Linked DNA regions of Lepisosteus oculatus. The protein of the gene in region 1 purifies or fractionates together with the protein of each later gene. This does not show direct contact. Links are inferred from orthologs where the notes say so. Each region holds a gene or a part of one and is shown on either strand. Other genes may lie near its edges.

The links. The genes of interacting proteins can lie anywhere in the genome.
Region 2: the proteins of mycbp2 (region 1) and fbxo45 purify together in Homo sapiens (affinity purification with western blotting; 7 studies listed by BioGRID and IntAct, with this or other methods). This does not show direct contact. The link is inferred for Lepisosteus oculatus from reciprocal best matches to the Homo sapiens genes MYCBP2 and FBXO45.

The regions. Positions count from the first base shown.
Region 1 is NC_090710.1:17,051,389-17,058,806, forward strand, and holds the start of mycbp2 (E3 ubiquitin-protein ligase MYCBP2), read left to right. Parts: upstream 1-4,406; 5' UTR 4,407-4,481; intron 4,482-5,025; exon of another isoform or gene 5,026-5,203; intron 5,204-5,724; 5' UTR 5,725-5,967; exon of another isoform or gene 5,968-6,253; 5' UTR 6,254-6,254; coding exon 6,255-6,523; intron 6,524-7,418. UniProt on the Homo sapiens protein: Atypical E3 ubiquitin-protein ligase which specifically mediates ubiquitination of threonine and serine residues on target proteins, instead of ubiquitinating lysine residues.
Region 2 is NC_090708.1:21,112,266-21,120,158, reverse strand, and holds the start of fbxo45 (F-box/SPRY domain-containing protein 1), read left to right. Parts: upstream 1-4,885; 5' UTR 4,886-5,171; coding exon 5,172-5,468; intron 5,469-7,893. UniProt on the Homo sapiens protein: Component of E3 ubiquitin ligase complex consisting of FBXO45, MYCBP2 and SKP1. Functions in substrate recognition but also plays an important role in assembly of the complex.

The DNA of each region.
Region 1 (7,418 bases):
TCCATCAGAGTCTAGCTCTGTGTTAGCCTATTGGAGATAGCAGATCTTTGCGAAATTAAATTAAATATGAAACTGGCTCCAAGAAAAATTATGGAATATTTTGTTTTGAACTTTTGGAAGTTCTGCATTTTAAAAATACTGTAGTTAGGTTGACATTCATAAACTCTTAGCTCCTGTCTTAGTTACAAAACTTTGTTATTGTTTGTTTTGTATCATAGCCTACATCACAATGAAGTGGATTATTTTACAATAATGATCACCTACACCTTCTTTAACTTTTGTTTTACAGAGGCAAACCACTGAATAGTGTATACATTTGTCTACACAATATATATTTTTACATATATTACTTTATGAATATAAAATATTAATATTTGCTAGGAAACATCTATGTGCATACGTGTATATTTGAATGTATATAGGTGAGTGAAAAGTACTGGAATCGTACACATTTTTTTTATTTTTATCTTCATTGAACATGTTATTGTTCATTTTGCATTGTTTTATAAGGAGCATAAATCCTTTTGTCTATGTGTGTATTTTATGAGTAAAACAGGTAATGAGAGCTTCCATGTGATAAATCAGAATCTGAACAGAGACAAAAGACATGAATGCAAGCAAGACCCATGAAGCATTGCAGATCAGATCAAAGGCACACGCGTCTTCACACCCACCTGGCCTTAATGGAATGGAATCGCTGAGTTGTGATTGAATAACCCCATGCAGTTTTCAACAGCAGGCACAAAGATCTCTAGGATTACATACAAGATGTCTACAGTTTCTGTCCACACTATGTGCTTCATTTGGTCAAGCTGTGTGCGATAAAACCATACTAGCTGTAGAAACGTTGCTCAGTGTTCTGGATTATTATTGTAGAAATCAGTTTCACAGATGTCAGTCAAAAAGCTGTCAGTTAAGAAGCCTCTTGAAAAAAAGAATTAGTACAGACATTCATCATTGTGCTAAAGGCTTTCTGCCTCTTAAATGGCATTTATCTGTAGAATAGAAATGTTATGTATTACTATATTTGCATTGACAATCATTTCAAATATACTTGACCAGAAATCATATATAATTGATCCATCCAATAAAAAATAAAATGAAAAACTGAATGAAATGCAGGTAAACAAATGTTCAAATACTAACTTTACGACATCAATAAATTATGGTAACATACAATAATATGTTAAGAATTTCCTGAGAAAATAGCAGACATAAAAAGATGAAGCTGAAAGCATACGAGAATGAGATTAAGGTGCAACTCTTATATAAATAAGCACATTTTGAAGTTCTTGTTTTGGAGTAGAATAAATTCTCAATTTGCAACTTGAAAATATTTGGCAGATTTTGGGGGACTTTATGTTATTATGGCTCAATTTCAATTTTCTTGGGAATTGCACTGTTTTTAAACTGAAGCTGAACTTCTGAAATAAGGTACTATGTTCAAGAATGCAGAATTAAAAATAACAGAATGTTGGAAGATCACCTTCACAGTACTGAAACATGACATGTTTTTCTTTCTTTAGCAGATTTGTAATTTTATCTTCCAATTTGTTGTGTCTACATTCAAGGTGACATACTGTAACACAACCAAAGGATTATAGTGGTGATTGTAGTGCTTTTTATTGAAAATAGTCCTTCGTTTACCCAACATCAGACTGATTTAGCTGAATAATTTGATTACCGTTGAAAACATAAAGGCTACATATGATTAGCTTCTGTTCTCTCAAAATAAAAATGATTCTGGCAAGCATTTTACTCACAGGTCAATAGCTGTCCCCCAGACACTGTGAGGAACAATAACAAATAGCAAAATAAAAATATATATAATTACATTTTCCATCATTATGAAATAAGACAGCCATCTGTGTATGCCTAGAAATAAACATTTTGTATTTAAGTTAGACCATACAGTAATTCACTTATTTACAGGTGACATTTGCAAGTCTGTATAAAATTGATTAAATCATTTTAAATATAGTTACCTAAATCCACATTTTGATGATGCAACAACTTAGTTTTAGATTTCCCCTTTTTGAACCATGTGATGCTTACATTTTTTTCCTGCAGTATTAACAGTTATTAAAAATGTATCTGGTAAGCAGAAGTGCTGTTTCTTATAGCCCGTGCAAGATTAAGTCAAGGGAAATCTGTAAAGCACTCTCTAATGACTTACACTCTCACTCACTCTTACCTGATCATTGTAACCTGAAATCTGCAGTTTCCGGGCCAGCTACGTATCCCCCTGCTCTTGGATGCGTCTACCTAGGCACCGATTGCTCTGGGAGTTAATTACAGTGAAAGACAAACAGAATTACAGTGAATGTGTAGTAAAGCAAAGTTAAATTATGTGAAAGTGCATTTTATACCACAAAACAAGAAGAACTTCTTTACGCAAAGGGTTGTGGGACTTTGGAACAAGTTACACAATCATGTTGTTGAAGCCAATACTTTGATCCTCATCAGTTACTGTAGCTACTAAGAGCCGGCTGGGACTCTCATTTTTTTAAAACCCATCTCATATTCTTATGTTCCAGTTGTGCTCAAACCAAGGTAAGGCAGAAAAGTACAGTAAGTAAATCCTGACATGCAAGAAACTATGACAAAGTAAATGTATGGTACAAGCATGGTAAAACAATGGGAAAAAAATCCAAAATAAAACACAAATCTGCCATATTAACATTTCCAAAATGTATGCTGGGATATCTATACATATTTGTTTATACATTATACAATAGACAATATGGAGGTCTGGCATTGTTTAAAGAATAATTTAATTTATAAGATGTAACCAAACAAGGAAAATGCATTGAATGGATGTCCAGCTCTAGTCTGATACTTTTCATGTAAATGCAGATAACAGCAACAGAGGGTAAGATTTCCAAAAGGAATTTATATAATAACATTATACCCAGTTTATACAGTACATTTAGTTATGCAAAGCATAGGGAAATTTCTCCATTCATCTTTACCCTTAGATCATGTTGAGCTGGAGCCTTATGTGGTTGGCACACAGCACAGTACAGGACTACACTTTGGATGCGACACAACACCATCACAGGACACACACATACACATTTCACATTAATTCTCATGGGGGGTGGGGTTATTTACCTTGAAAGCCTGTCTTTGGACTGTGGGATGAAACTGGACCACCTGGAATAACTTTTAAAAGTGAGCTTTTAAAAGCACACACCCCAGCTATAGACTGTATGATCCGCTACCATCTGGAAAACGGTACCGGAGCATTCGGGTCCGGACTACCAGACTCAGAAACAGTTTTTATCCCCGCACTATCAAACTATTAAACTCCCAGCCTCTCTCACTCTCACCTCACCTCTCACCTATGATCTGAACCTCACAGTGCCTTCTTTCTTACAAAAACCCAAACATACATTGAAAATCTACCTCTACCATACATGTCAAACGCTCACTCCCCATCATTTCTATCCCTTTATTTCATTCTGTTGATGCATGTTTTTGCACATAACCTGTTACCTTTTTGTTGTTTTGTACATTGCCTGTTGTTGTTTTTTGCACATTGCCTGTTGTTGTTTTTGCACATCACCTGTAGTTGTTTTTGCACATCACCTGTTGTCTCTGTCCTTCTTTTGTTATACAGTTGTATTGTTGTTGTTGTTTTTTCTTTGTACTACTTATGTCAGAGAGGTAGCTAAATAGCATTTCGTTATACCATATACCTGTATATGAGTATAATGACAATAAACTTGAACTCGAACTTGAACTTGAACTAAAAGGAGAACATGTAAACTTTGAACCCGGGATCCTGAGCTGTGAAGCACCAGCAGTTCCTACAAATTCCTCAAAATAAAAAAATGCATCAGTGAAAGGACAAACAACCCCATAGTGAGGACATATTTTGCATCAGTTGTTGCAATATATGTATATTATAAGCACAAACTATTTACTCAAATCCCCCACTAGTTACTGTATAACAACGTTGACATTTTAGATGAGAAAAAAAACAAGCTAGTTATTTAGTAATATTTAAAGTAAATTCCTCACCACATACCCATTAAGTAGAACAAGTGTTAGATCAAAACGACTTAAGGTTCAGTCAGGAATTTACAAGGTGTCTTTCTGCATAAAGAAGTAAAAGCGCTGAAAAGAATAAGTCTGCTTGTCCTGGTGAAATTTTAACTTTGTTAACGAAAAGTAATGTTTGGTTCTGTTACTAGTTTAAAGTTTACGTTTTAGAAATACGACTAAACGTTATCTGAGCGAAAAAGGAGGTGTCTGTACCATAAAGATGTGGACATTTTTCATTCAGAGATCAGATAAGAACTGTTTTGCTGTTATATTTCTTACTAGTCAATTTCTTCCAAAAGGTGACTTTCCAAAATACAGTACTTGCCATTTCTACACATTCCGAAGACGTACTTACAGCAGCGGTTAAGATTAAAGAATAAAACAACTTTTTAAACCGCTGTGTATAATTAATATTCACGCGACTTAAAGAGGTAAATATAATCAGGCTATGCACATATCGTGCTTGACTACAGTTGTGTATTGCAGACATATTGACATCTGAAGTAACGACTACTGTATTTTGGTAACGACAATGTATGTTTTTGTAATTTGTCGAAAAATATGCGTATCAAACTACGGCATCGAGTTTTGTGATACAGTGTATACATTTACCAGACTTTTATTATATAATAGCAAGTAGTCTAGGAGGCCTACTGACGTTTTATTTTACTGTGAGCTGATATTGCCTGAACTCTTACCTCTCTATATTGGTTACACGTACACATTTAAAAACAGCGTTACACGGTGATATGTTGTAATTTAATTTGTCAGTATAAAAAAGTAAAGCAATCTTCTCATCCAGAAGATGAGGAGATGAGGGAAGATTTAACTAAGAAGCAAATAAATGATACGATTAATACTGCTAAATCCATAACCATTTCACAACTTGATCGTTGAATTGGCCCTGAGAAAATTAATAAACCAGTCTGATGCAACATTTCAACATTGACCCTACTGGCAAATTCAACACATTACCTCTTCCTTTGTATTTCAATGTTATTGAACCCGATGCAGCGTATACTTGGGTTTCTACCTGATATTGAGTCGGGGTTATTTAAATACTGTTTTGCTAAATTTGCATTATGTTCTAACCTGATGATCAGGTTACAATCTGGGCAATATTCAACTAGTTCTCTCTGAAAAGCTCTCCGACATAAACTGGCAGTTAAGACGTGATATCTTCTTCGGAGACCTTAATATTATTAATACCGTACTTAATGAGGTTGGGTGGCAACATAGATAAAATACAGAGTAGTGTTTGTATTCTCTGGGGGTAAAGATTCATCAGCACCTGGCTTTTTTAAATTTGCATAAGGGAAAAAAATATCTGTAGGCTTTTAAATTATTTTCTTAAATGTGGACCTCAAGGTACTTGAACTTCACACTCAGCAGTATAAGAAAAAAACGATACAACTTTTGTATTGCCTAATTTTCATTACAAGAATAGCAGAATTAAAGATAAATTTCGCTGATGATTAAAAATGATTGTGGTTTCCATAGTACTGTTACCACTACTTCCAGCGAGAGGGGTGGAGGCAGTTTAACTGAAGGTTTCAAGTGCGAGATAATGCCGGGACATATTATATTAATCACCTAACGTTTTTCTGTTGTAATGACTTTTCCGGTTAGCAGTTGTAATATGTCAGTTTTGTGTTTTTTTTTCTAATTTTCAAGAAACTCCATGTTTAAAGAAAAACATCTGTGCTCCAGGCTCTCAGCAAATCGACAGCCTCCCTTAGAAATAACGACACCCTTTACTACGTTGATCTGGACAGAAACCTATCCCAGCATGCCTGACAGCAGGCAGGAAAGGACGATGAAGCAAAGATGGCAGCACTGAGGGTGCAGTCTGTACGGGGTCAAGAAAAACACAAGGAGCAAACGAAAACAAAGGACGACATAGCACGCAATTAAAAAGTAATAGGAATTGTCATCCGACCCAACAGAACAATATGGCTTGAAATGTTGAAAACCCGGAGTCAATGAATGAATTACCGTACTAAAAAGGAAGGGTATTTCGCATTTGCACCAGGGAGTGTATATACATTTTATGCTGTTCAAATTGGAGCTTGTGGATGTAATGACTTTTTTGTCGCTGTGTTCAAAGGATTTATCCGCTAGATGTACTGTGCTTTTGTTGACAGAGGGAAATAATTATTTATAAATGATTTCGTGGTAATATATATGAATTATTCCAAAATAGGATGATGTGTGCTGCTGCGGCAGCGGGTGCCTGTGGGCTGCTGTCTTCCTCTACTCCTCCCGTGGGGTTGGGTGTCGGGGTCAGTTCTGGAGTCGGATCGGATTTTTCTGGGATTGGATCAAGTATGGGTTCGTGCCCCGGTCCCGGGACCCAGTCAGATTGTCGGAGCCGGTACCAATTACTCCTCTCGGGGAGAGCTTTGGCGGAAAGATACCGGCGGATTTACACCGCAGCGATCAGTGACAAAGAGCAGGGGATAAACCCGGGGAGGTAAGTTCTGATGTTGGAACATATATCGTTACGGATACGTTCGTGTGCGGTTAGACTACCTCTCCTTTCGGGTGCAGCTAAATTCCCATTTACTTAGCTTTGACTGTGCATGCATTTTTGTTTTTACTCTTGTTTTTTGAATGTATTATTTTGCACGGCATTGCACTGTTTTAGGTGTGTGGTCATGTCAAATGTGATTAGCTCTTTTACAAAATGACAAGTGTTGGGTCGGTGCTGTGTAATTGTCAGTTGTAATTAGCATCTTCCGGGTTGTGACGGTCTTGACGAGGTGCCCGCGGTTTGAGTCGTGTGGGCCCAACATCATGGGGCCGGAGTTCCCAGCCCTGCCCCGCAGATTGCTTTCATGAGAGCAGTTGTCGGTGACGGAGCCATGCGGGGACAGGAGAGAATGGTTCCACTGTTGGAATTTGTTAATGTAATGGAAACCTAAGTGCAACTAAAGCGGGGCTTTAAAAACGGATGTGTTTCTTTCAAAACGCACGGTGGTATTTTTAGCGTACGAATCGGGCGCAGACTACAAAAACATATTCAGGAGGCTCTAGTTCAACCCCCTTGAAATGCTTGAAGCTTTCAGTTTCTATTACTATTAAATGAAACGAGGCCTTTTTTTTTTCGAATGGCAAATGGGAATATAAAGTCCCCGTCCCATGGAAAGAGAAAGCTACGGTATATTCATATCCTCGTCGTTACCAATAGGTTAGATCGCTTTTCCAGCACACCTCATACCGTTGTGTGCTTCTGGTCAGGGGTTTAGTGAAAGGAAAGAGCAAATCGATTGCTCTTGTTATAATCGGTACGCAAGATGACTGCTACATCATCACGTGAAAAACGATGCTTATGACAGCGTACCCTCAATAGTGCTCTAAATCCCCCC
Region 2 (7,893 bases), on another chromosome or scaffold:
GTTCCAGTAAGTTAGCGATAGCTCAGGCGGAAAGTAAATCAAAACCTGCTGTCTGACATCCTGTGATGGAGACAGAAAAGGGGCATTTCTTCTTCGGCCGCGCTTCCTGTTTCCTTCCAGTCGTGCCTCACGCCGACTGCCCAGACTCCACGCCTCAGGGAAACCTCCCGGCTCCATGACCTCCGGGTGACTTCTGGCCTTATCCAATCTCAACATGCAGGCAGGGCTCCATATTCCGTCTGGAGATGCCAGCTTTCCCGACCTGCCTGAAGACTTCCTCCCCTCTGGAATCTAGAAATTCTAGATTTCTTTGCACAGTATTTTGCACTATTGCTGCTGTTGGTTTTGCAAAAGGTTTGTTTTGACGCCGGCATGGCAAACAAAGGCACGTAGCCAGAAACAGAACACACGCAACAGAATCGCACACATGCTGCGGAACGGGACGGAAAAGGCTCGGCACTGCTCGGCAGCTGATGCATTTTTAACTACGGCACACACGGCTATGCTTCCAGATGCAAGGCTTGTGCAACTGCAAAATCCCGTGGCATGCTTTAATATTTATGCATTGCTGCACACTCGCCTCTTCAATGAAGCAAGATGCGATGCAATGCCAGGCTCAAGGCCCAAGTTAAAACTGACTTGTCTTTATAATAATCAGCCACCTCACACTCTTTCCTCCTGCGCTGGCCACACAACACTTTTATAAAGCACAGACAAAAGCTCTATCCCAGGGGAGGTGGGAAATGGTTAGCCCACATGATACTTGTGCTTACCTGACCATATTTAAGCACAAGACACCATTAGCTATTCTTGGATGCTGTAAAAACCTCTCTCACACACACAACATCTCAGCACTGTCCGTGTCTGGCCAACAAATTTAGGTTAACAAATACATTATAATCTAAGCATGGGGCATAATGGTGATACCTCTAATAATGTAGCATGAATGTGAAGTATCCAGAGATTAAAGCAAACAGCTCTAAAACTTTCTTACGGGAAAAGAAAAATGCTGTTTGTTTCAGAACTGAAAAGGCAAAAGAATTTACAGCTGTTGTTCAAAAGTCCCTAACTTTCCGTCGACGTGCGCCACAGTGAACTGCGTGCTACATTTTGTGGAGACGTTAAAAGCAAATGTGAACCGAGACCATTAATCAGAAGAGCACACGGCAGAGCTCAGTGCCGAGGACTTGAAAAGCGGTGACTGGGCAGAGCCAGAACGATCATCACCTGATCGATTCCAGCAGCCTGCCGGTTGCCTACACTCTCGGGAGACACACGCATCTCGGATCACAGTTTCGTGTAAAACCTCGTTCTTCGCAGCACTGATGCAGGCTGCCAAAGCGGTAAAGAAAACCGGCTGAACCCGCTTGCCGGTAATTGAAACGCAAGGCTGGCAGCTGATGCAGGGAGTTCTGACTTTTCCCATCAAACAGGAGGGAGCTGAGCTGTCATCTAACAGGCAGAGAAATAAAATCTGCTTTCCTTGGATAAACAGACAGATGGCTTCTTCCTCAAATAAGGCACATGAGTAGTAGTATCTAAACTTCAGTAAATAAAAATACTGACACATTTGCCCTTTGCAGACACTACCGATGTATAGGTGTAATGAGTAATGGGCTTCAGACATGTTTCTCCATACTGTCAGCACACTCCAGTAATGAATACAGAATACATATTATTAACATTTAAATTGTGAAATGGACGGAAAGATGGATTTCTCAATAGCAAATCATGTCTAAAATAGTATGCATTTTACAGTAAAGCTTGGACTAAAGAGTAAAGAATTTAACTCCCAAGATCTTACTGATGAGCATGTCAGCAGTTAGTCATCATTCACATACCAAAAAATAACCGGACACCAGCTTGTGCTGAAGCTGAGATTGCTGTGAACTTGAAAGGCGACCTCATGATAACCCTGGAATTTAGGGGAGAGAGTTGTACTGCAATGTTGAAATCCGCAGCAAGAAAGACGCTTATTAATGTTATTTTCAGCAGTGTGCACATTAAAAAATAACATTTGGTAACCGCAAACAAAACATTGATTGAGCATTAAGTGTAAACAGACTGGCGCTGCTTCAGTATAAAATTCAACAGCACGTAAACCTACAACAGTCAAACAGCTCGGGACCTAGTCATACTGCCTTAAAAATCTCACGAGGTGAGTACAAAGGTAAGGACACAAAGCAAACCACCTCATCCGAGCACTAAAAACGCAGACATCTTTATCCAGCAAGCAGAATCTGTTCTCACCACAAACGTCTAAACTAGTGAGGACACCTGAGCTCTATTTGTGACCCTCGAAGTCGTGAAGTTCGTTTTCCTGATTTGCCTAACGCGCCTAAGGGAAGCCCAAACCTTCACTGCCGCCGATTTAATGCGGACTCGTTCAAATGTAAAATGTACACCTTGTCCAAAGCACCATTTTATTAGTTTATGTAGAAGTGAAACAACTGCGCCCATACACTCATCAATCCAATATTTACAAAGAACACAGGAAAGTGGCACTTTGCACTAAAAGGTTTTTTTTTTTAAGAGGGGGGGCTGGTTGCCCTCATCGGTAGCTAACAATATATTAAGCGCACTGCCTCCATCCCACGCATTATTCTCGGTGCGTGACCGTGGGTAACCTTATTAGTTGGATACTACTGGTGTCCAGATCGGCGATTTGTGTTGAAGTTTTTCGACAAGCCGACTGCGCGTCCAGGTCAGCTATCCGCTCCGATTCGGGTTCACATCGTGTCGAGCTCTTCCCTGCTTATCGGGACGGTGCGAAGCAAATTGCGGGAGGTTACACGCATTTTAAGCCAGGTACGGCGACAACCATGAGGCTCCATTGGTGCTGTAAGGCAATCGGACAGCACAGGCCGCAGGGAGGAATTGCAAAGCAGCCTCAGCATCTCGTATCCCTCGGTTATTCTGTATCCCATTCACCCTTCAACCCACCCTGCCTCGAAGTATCCAGCACTTGCAACAGGTACGACACAAAGACACGCATAGCACTGCTAGTATTTGCAACGAAGCATGATACTTACGTTTTTTAGGCTTGCTCAACCGATTTTCCTTTTCCTGTCTCTTCTTTCCCTCTGGTATTGTTATATATTTTTCTCGTCTCTTGTGTCTCCCCTTTCCTCTCTGTCTAGAACTGCTGCGCACCAACCAAACCTACATCAGCAAACGTCACTTCCGACTAGTGGCAACTGAAGCCGGACCTGGGTCATGTGACAGGTGTCTGGGATATTATTTGTTCTGGTTATGTGACAATAATCTGTGACTTTGTGGGTTCCGGTCCTAGAGAATTAGAAATGTCTTAATGCACAGGGAGAATTATTAACAAAAAATAAAAACTGTGCTTTGACTCTTGATTACGGTCGGAAATATTGCGACAGTGTCTGAAATAGAAATAAAAAATGAAATTATTGCCTTCAGGTGATTATGAGCTTTCCGAGCAGTAACACTCATAACATTCCTCCAGTGAAAAGATTGAAACATAGCATTTTGTACTTATTTAATGACAAGAGCAGCGTGTCTGAGCAGTGGATTCTACAGACATGTTACTGCACTCAGGAAATCCAAATCACCCTGTGTGTGGAGCATGCTTTTTGGTTGAACAAGACCCAAATTCCAAGTGGGAATAAATGTCTGCCTCAGTGATCCCTTGTATCCAGCAGGAGGTTGTAATTGTCAGTTTCATTTAAGTCCAGAAGGAGAACAAAAATACTAAACAAGTCTGAAGCCATCAGCCATTCATTAAATACCTTAACACAAGCTCTTTTCAATTCTTCGGGTAAACAAAAAGGAAACGTTCAAAGAGCTCATCACCTTTAACTGCCCACTCCATAATTTTTGCAAGAAGGGACACATTGTAAATAGGGTTGTGGTTGTTAGCTACTTGGAGTTCCAGACCTGGTTTGGCACAGGTGTGATAGCAGAACACTATCTGCAGATACAAGACCAGATTGCAGAAATTCTTTGAAAAGCTTAGTAAGAGGACAAAGAGCAGAGAAGCCATATCTGAGCAGGGGCCAGCAAATAGTTATTAATTAAATCATTTTTATGTGTTTAGTTGTGAAAGAACAGCTTGCCAAATAATAAGGCACAGGTAAAATTACAATAAAAGTGGGTTACTCATCTTATTTGGGTTGTTCAGTAGTTAGAAGCTAATTCATCAAAGGATCTAATTCAGCCATTAGATGAAAGAACCCAGGACACCATCTTCAATAATATAGCTGCCTAGCTTGTTCTAAACTCCCACAATCCTCTGTGTACAGACATTCCCCCAGTACTCAGTTTTATGGACCTTGTTATTTCCAGTTTATGTTCACTGGTTCATGGTTCACTGTATATTCAGGAAAAAGACCTTGTCAAAGGCTTTGACAATTTTGAAAACTTGAATTAGGTCCCCTCATAGCCTTTTCTGTTGAAGACAGAGAAACTCTTTAAACTTGTCATTACAGGACATGTTTCGGGCCAGGAATGTGTTTGGTTGCTCTGAACCACTGAAGCCCAGCATTCCACAGCAGTAAAATATGATTCTATAGTGGTGACCAAATTTATGCACAGTATTTTAAATTAGGTCTTACTAGTGCGTTGCGCAATTTTAATATAACATACCTGGATTGAATTTTTACACTTCTTAAAGTCTACATTCATTCCAAAGGGTTAATCTCATTTAAAACGAGCCAAGTCAAGCGGAGCACAGAGACGGAATTTTTTACTCTTGCTGTGCAGCAAATGAGACACTCCCACTTGTGTTTACGGTAGCTGACCAGGCGTCTTCATGGGGTCCTAACAGGGGTGTAAAAGGACAAATGATTATACCCTCAAGTGAAATACGAAGAACTTACTGATTGACTCGGAAAATGCAATTCCTTCAGTACTCATTTTATGGCACGATAATAAACGAGTCGATGCTGACGGCTTCTTCGCGCTCCTCCGGTTTTACGTCTGTATACTAGCGTCTTAACAGGACCCTTGGTTTTGTTGGTCTGTTTCCTCCCCGCTTTCAGTGTGCGTGTAAGTGACTGGATCTGTATTCTGCACCGGCTGTGTCCCGGTTCCGATCCGGTCTCGCACAGCCTGCGAGTTTGCATTTTGCATTTTGGAATTTTCTCCCTCCGACTCGCTGCCTTGGTGACCTGCCTGTCTCTGTGGGGTTTATTTTGTGCTATAGGATGTCGGGAGCGGCGGCCGGAGGGGCGTCTTTCTCCACAGGGACAGCTGCTCCGAGCGCTGGCACAGCCGCCGGGGCAGGGGTTGCAGGCAGGTTGCCTTGCCGGGTTTTGGAGCATGTGTTCTCCTACCTGGAGCTGCGGGACCTGCTCCGCTGCGCATTGGTGTGCAGACACTGGCACCGATGCCTCAGCGCCGACGAGAACAGCGAGGTCTATCGGAGCCTGTGCGTCCGCACGCTGGGGGAAGAGGCGCTGCGCTCGGATATTCTCTGCAACCTGCCCACCTACAAAGGAAAGGTAAACATTGGGTCTGACACTGTCATAGAGTATAGCCGCACTATTAACGCGATTTCATTCCAAGTAAAGTGTCTGGCTGTCGTTTTGTTTTTGACATCAGTGCGAAGGCGTACTCGGTACATCGGAGATTGTGTTTAAATCGTCCTTTTTGTCTCCCCTAGCGCATCTTTAAAACCCAGCTCTTGGCCTAACCAGTGTGCTTTTAATCGCGGAACAAATTCAGCATGCTAGCACCTGAAATGTAATGACTGGGGGCAGTTTAGTTCATCTAATAATGTCGCGTTTAGAGTACGGACAGTCGGACGTTTAAGTTTAAACACTTGGGCGTTACTGTTAGTTTCTTAGGCCCTTACAAAGGGACATTGGGTTACCCTGATACAGGCTGTCGGGTATATTATCTATTACAAGTTAATTTTAGAGACTGTTGAAATGTTTACATATAGTTCAAGTAGGGAGCTGCGTCAGCATGTGTAGGCTTAAAGTTAAAGGTTTATTCCTTGCTGAAAAGAGAAGAAAGGAAATGCAACGTTTCACTTGTGTAGCCTTCTTCACACCCGAAACAGCCGAAACGTTGTGTTTCCTTCCTTCTCTTTTCAGCATGGGATAGACATTTACATTTGTTTAATCCAAGCTGTGAAACGTAAAGATGGATCAGTAAACTGGAGGACGGCGGTGTTGTGCGTCTCACTAACTGCCCGTCTGGAACCCCTGGTGGTTTATCTGGTGTGAGAAGTTCTGTCTGATCTGGGTCAGGCTGTTCAATAGCCACAGTCAGGGTTTGGTAAAAGCAAATTTGGCAGATTAATACATTTGACGATAACTCACCAGTAGCCTGTTACAATCTGAAGTATGTGTTTGCTCGCAGTTATGTGAGTAAAATATATTTTTTACCATTTAGGACAATACTATTTTTTATTCACCACCTTGGATAAATTTACGTGGCATATTTTTAGTAAGCCTTACTGGTAAAATAAAGCAGTTTGGGGTGAAAAATAACATACAAAAAGCTGATGGGGAACATGCTCTTCTGAGCAGTAGTGCTTTGCTATCCATTCATTATCTAACCACTATATCCAGTACATGGCTGGACCCTTTCCCAGCAAGCAACAGGTGCAAGGCAGAACACACACTGAATGGGACACCAGTCCATCACAGGGCATACACAGACATACACTCACACCAGGGCCAGTTTTCCCAGAAGTCAGTTCACCTACCAGTATGTTTATGGACTGTTGGAAGAAAACCATACAAACCTGGGGAGAACATACAAACTCCTCACAGATAGCACCCCAGGAATTAAACCCCAACGCTGTGAGGCAGCAGTGCTGACCACTGCACCACTGTGTTGTCCTCTGGTCATTTTCCTTTCGTCTGTGTGACTCAAGCACGCCATTAAACCTTCACCTAAAATGTTTTCAGCCTCTTTGCTTCTACTACACGCATGTCCTGATAATGCAGAAATATTTCTCGTTTTTTTCCTCATATTGTTGTGAAGCTGGCTTCTATTTGGTTTCTAATTATGTCATTCCATCCTATTTGATGAACTTAAAATAATCCCTGGGATCTCTTTTATTAATACACCTTCAGTTTGGAGATATGTGGATAGACAACAAAGTGTCAAAATACATTACTGTGCAAAACTTGGGATTATTTATCATATTTTGCAGTTCAAAATGTGCTACTATTATAGTTATACATTTAAGAACTGAGGTGGAAACTAGCATGCTATAAATCTTGATTGGCCACCTAAAAATCTGATTGAGGCCATGTGGGATTTTTCCGGAGTCAGGAGAAAAAGAGGAGTTCAACAAACTCAGACAAGTGGAATGTTTTTCAAGGCATTTGATTTACAGTTCTCATTACAGTACTCCAGTTGGTTCAGTGGAAACATGACTAAAACACAAGGGGCCAAAAAAAGTGTGGAAAAATTAAGGGAAGGGGAAAATTCTTGACCTACTCTAATAACATTTTTGGCACCCAGAAATATTTTTTTTTCTCCCCTCTGCTGTTCATGTCTTAATCGGGTCAACTGGACCAAATCATCACGGTGGGTCGCTGTATTGAGACTAGTTGAAGCACACCAGCCCCCGGACGTCACTGATGCCTGTGACATCAGTTATACTGGTCCCAGAACTGGGACCTGCAGGGTGGAGAAACGTCACTTCCCATCAGTGGGGCTGTGGCTGTGTGGCACAGCATGTCGGCTCTTGGCTAGAGACATGTGTGACGGTCAGAAATAGTCTCCAGATAAACTGTGGAAATTACACACTATAAGATAACTGAGCAGCAGCTTGGTCTGGAAAAGCTGAACTGACATATCTTCCGGGTGATGTTTTGGATATCAAGGCATTCTAAACGGATTGCAAGACTGTCTTTTTTTATTCGTCTTAAGTTAAGTGAATAACTAACGTCTTCGAGTTAAGTG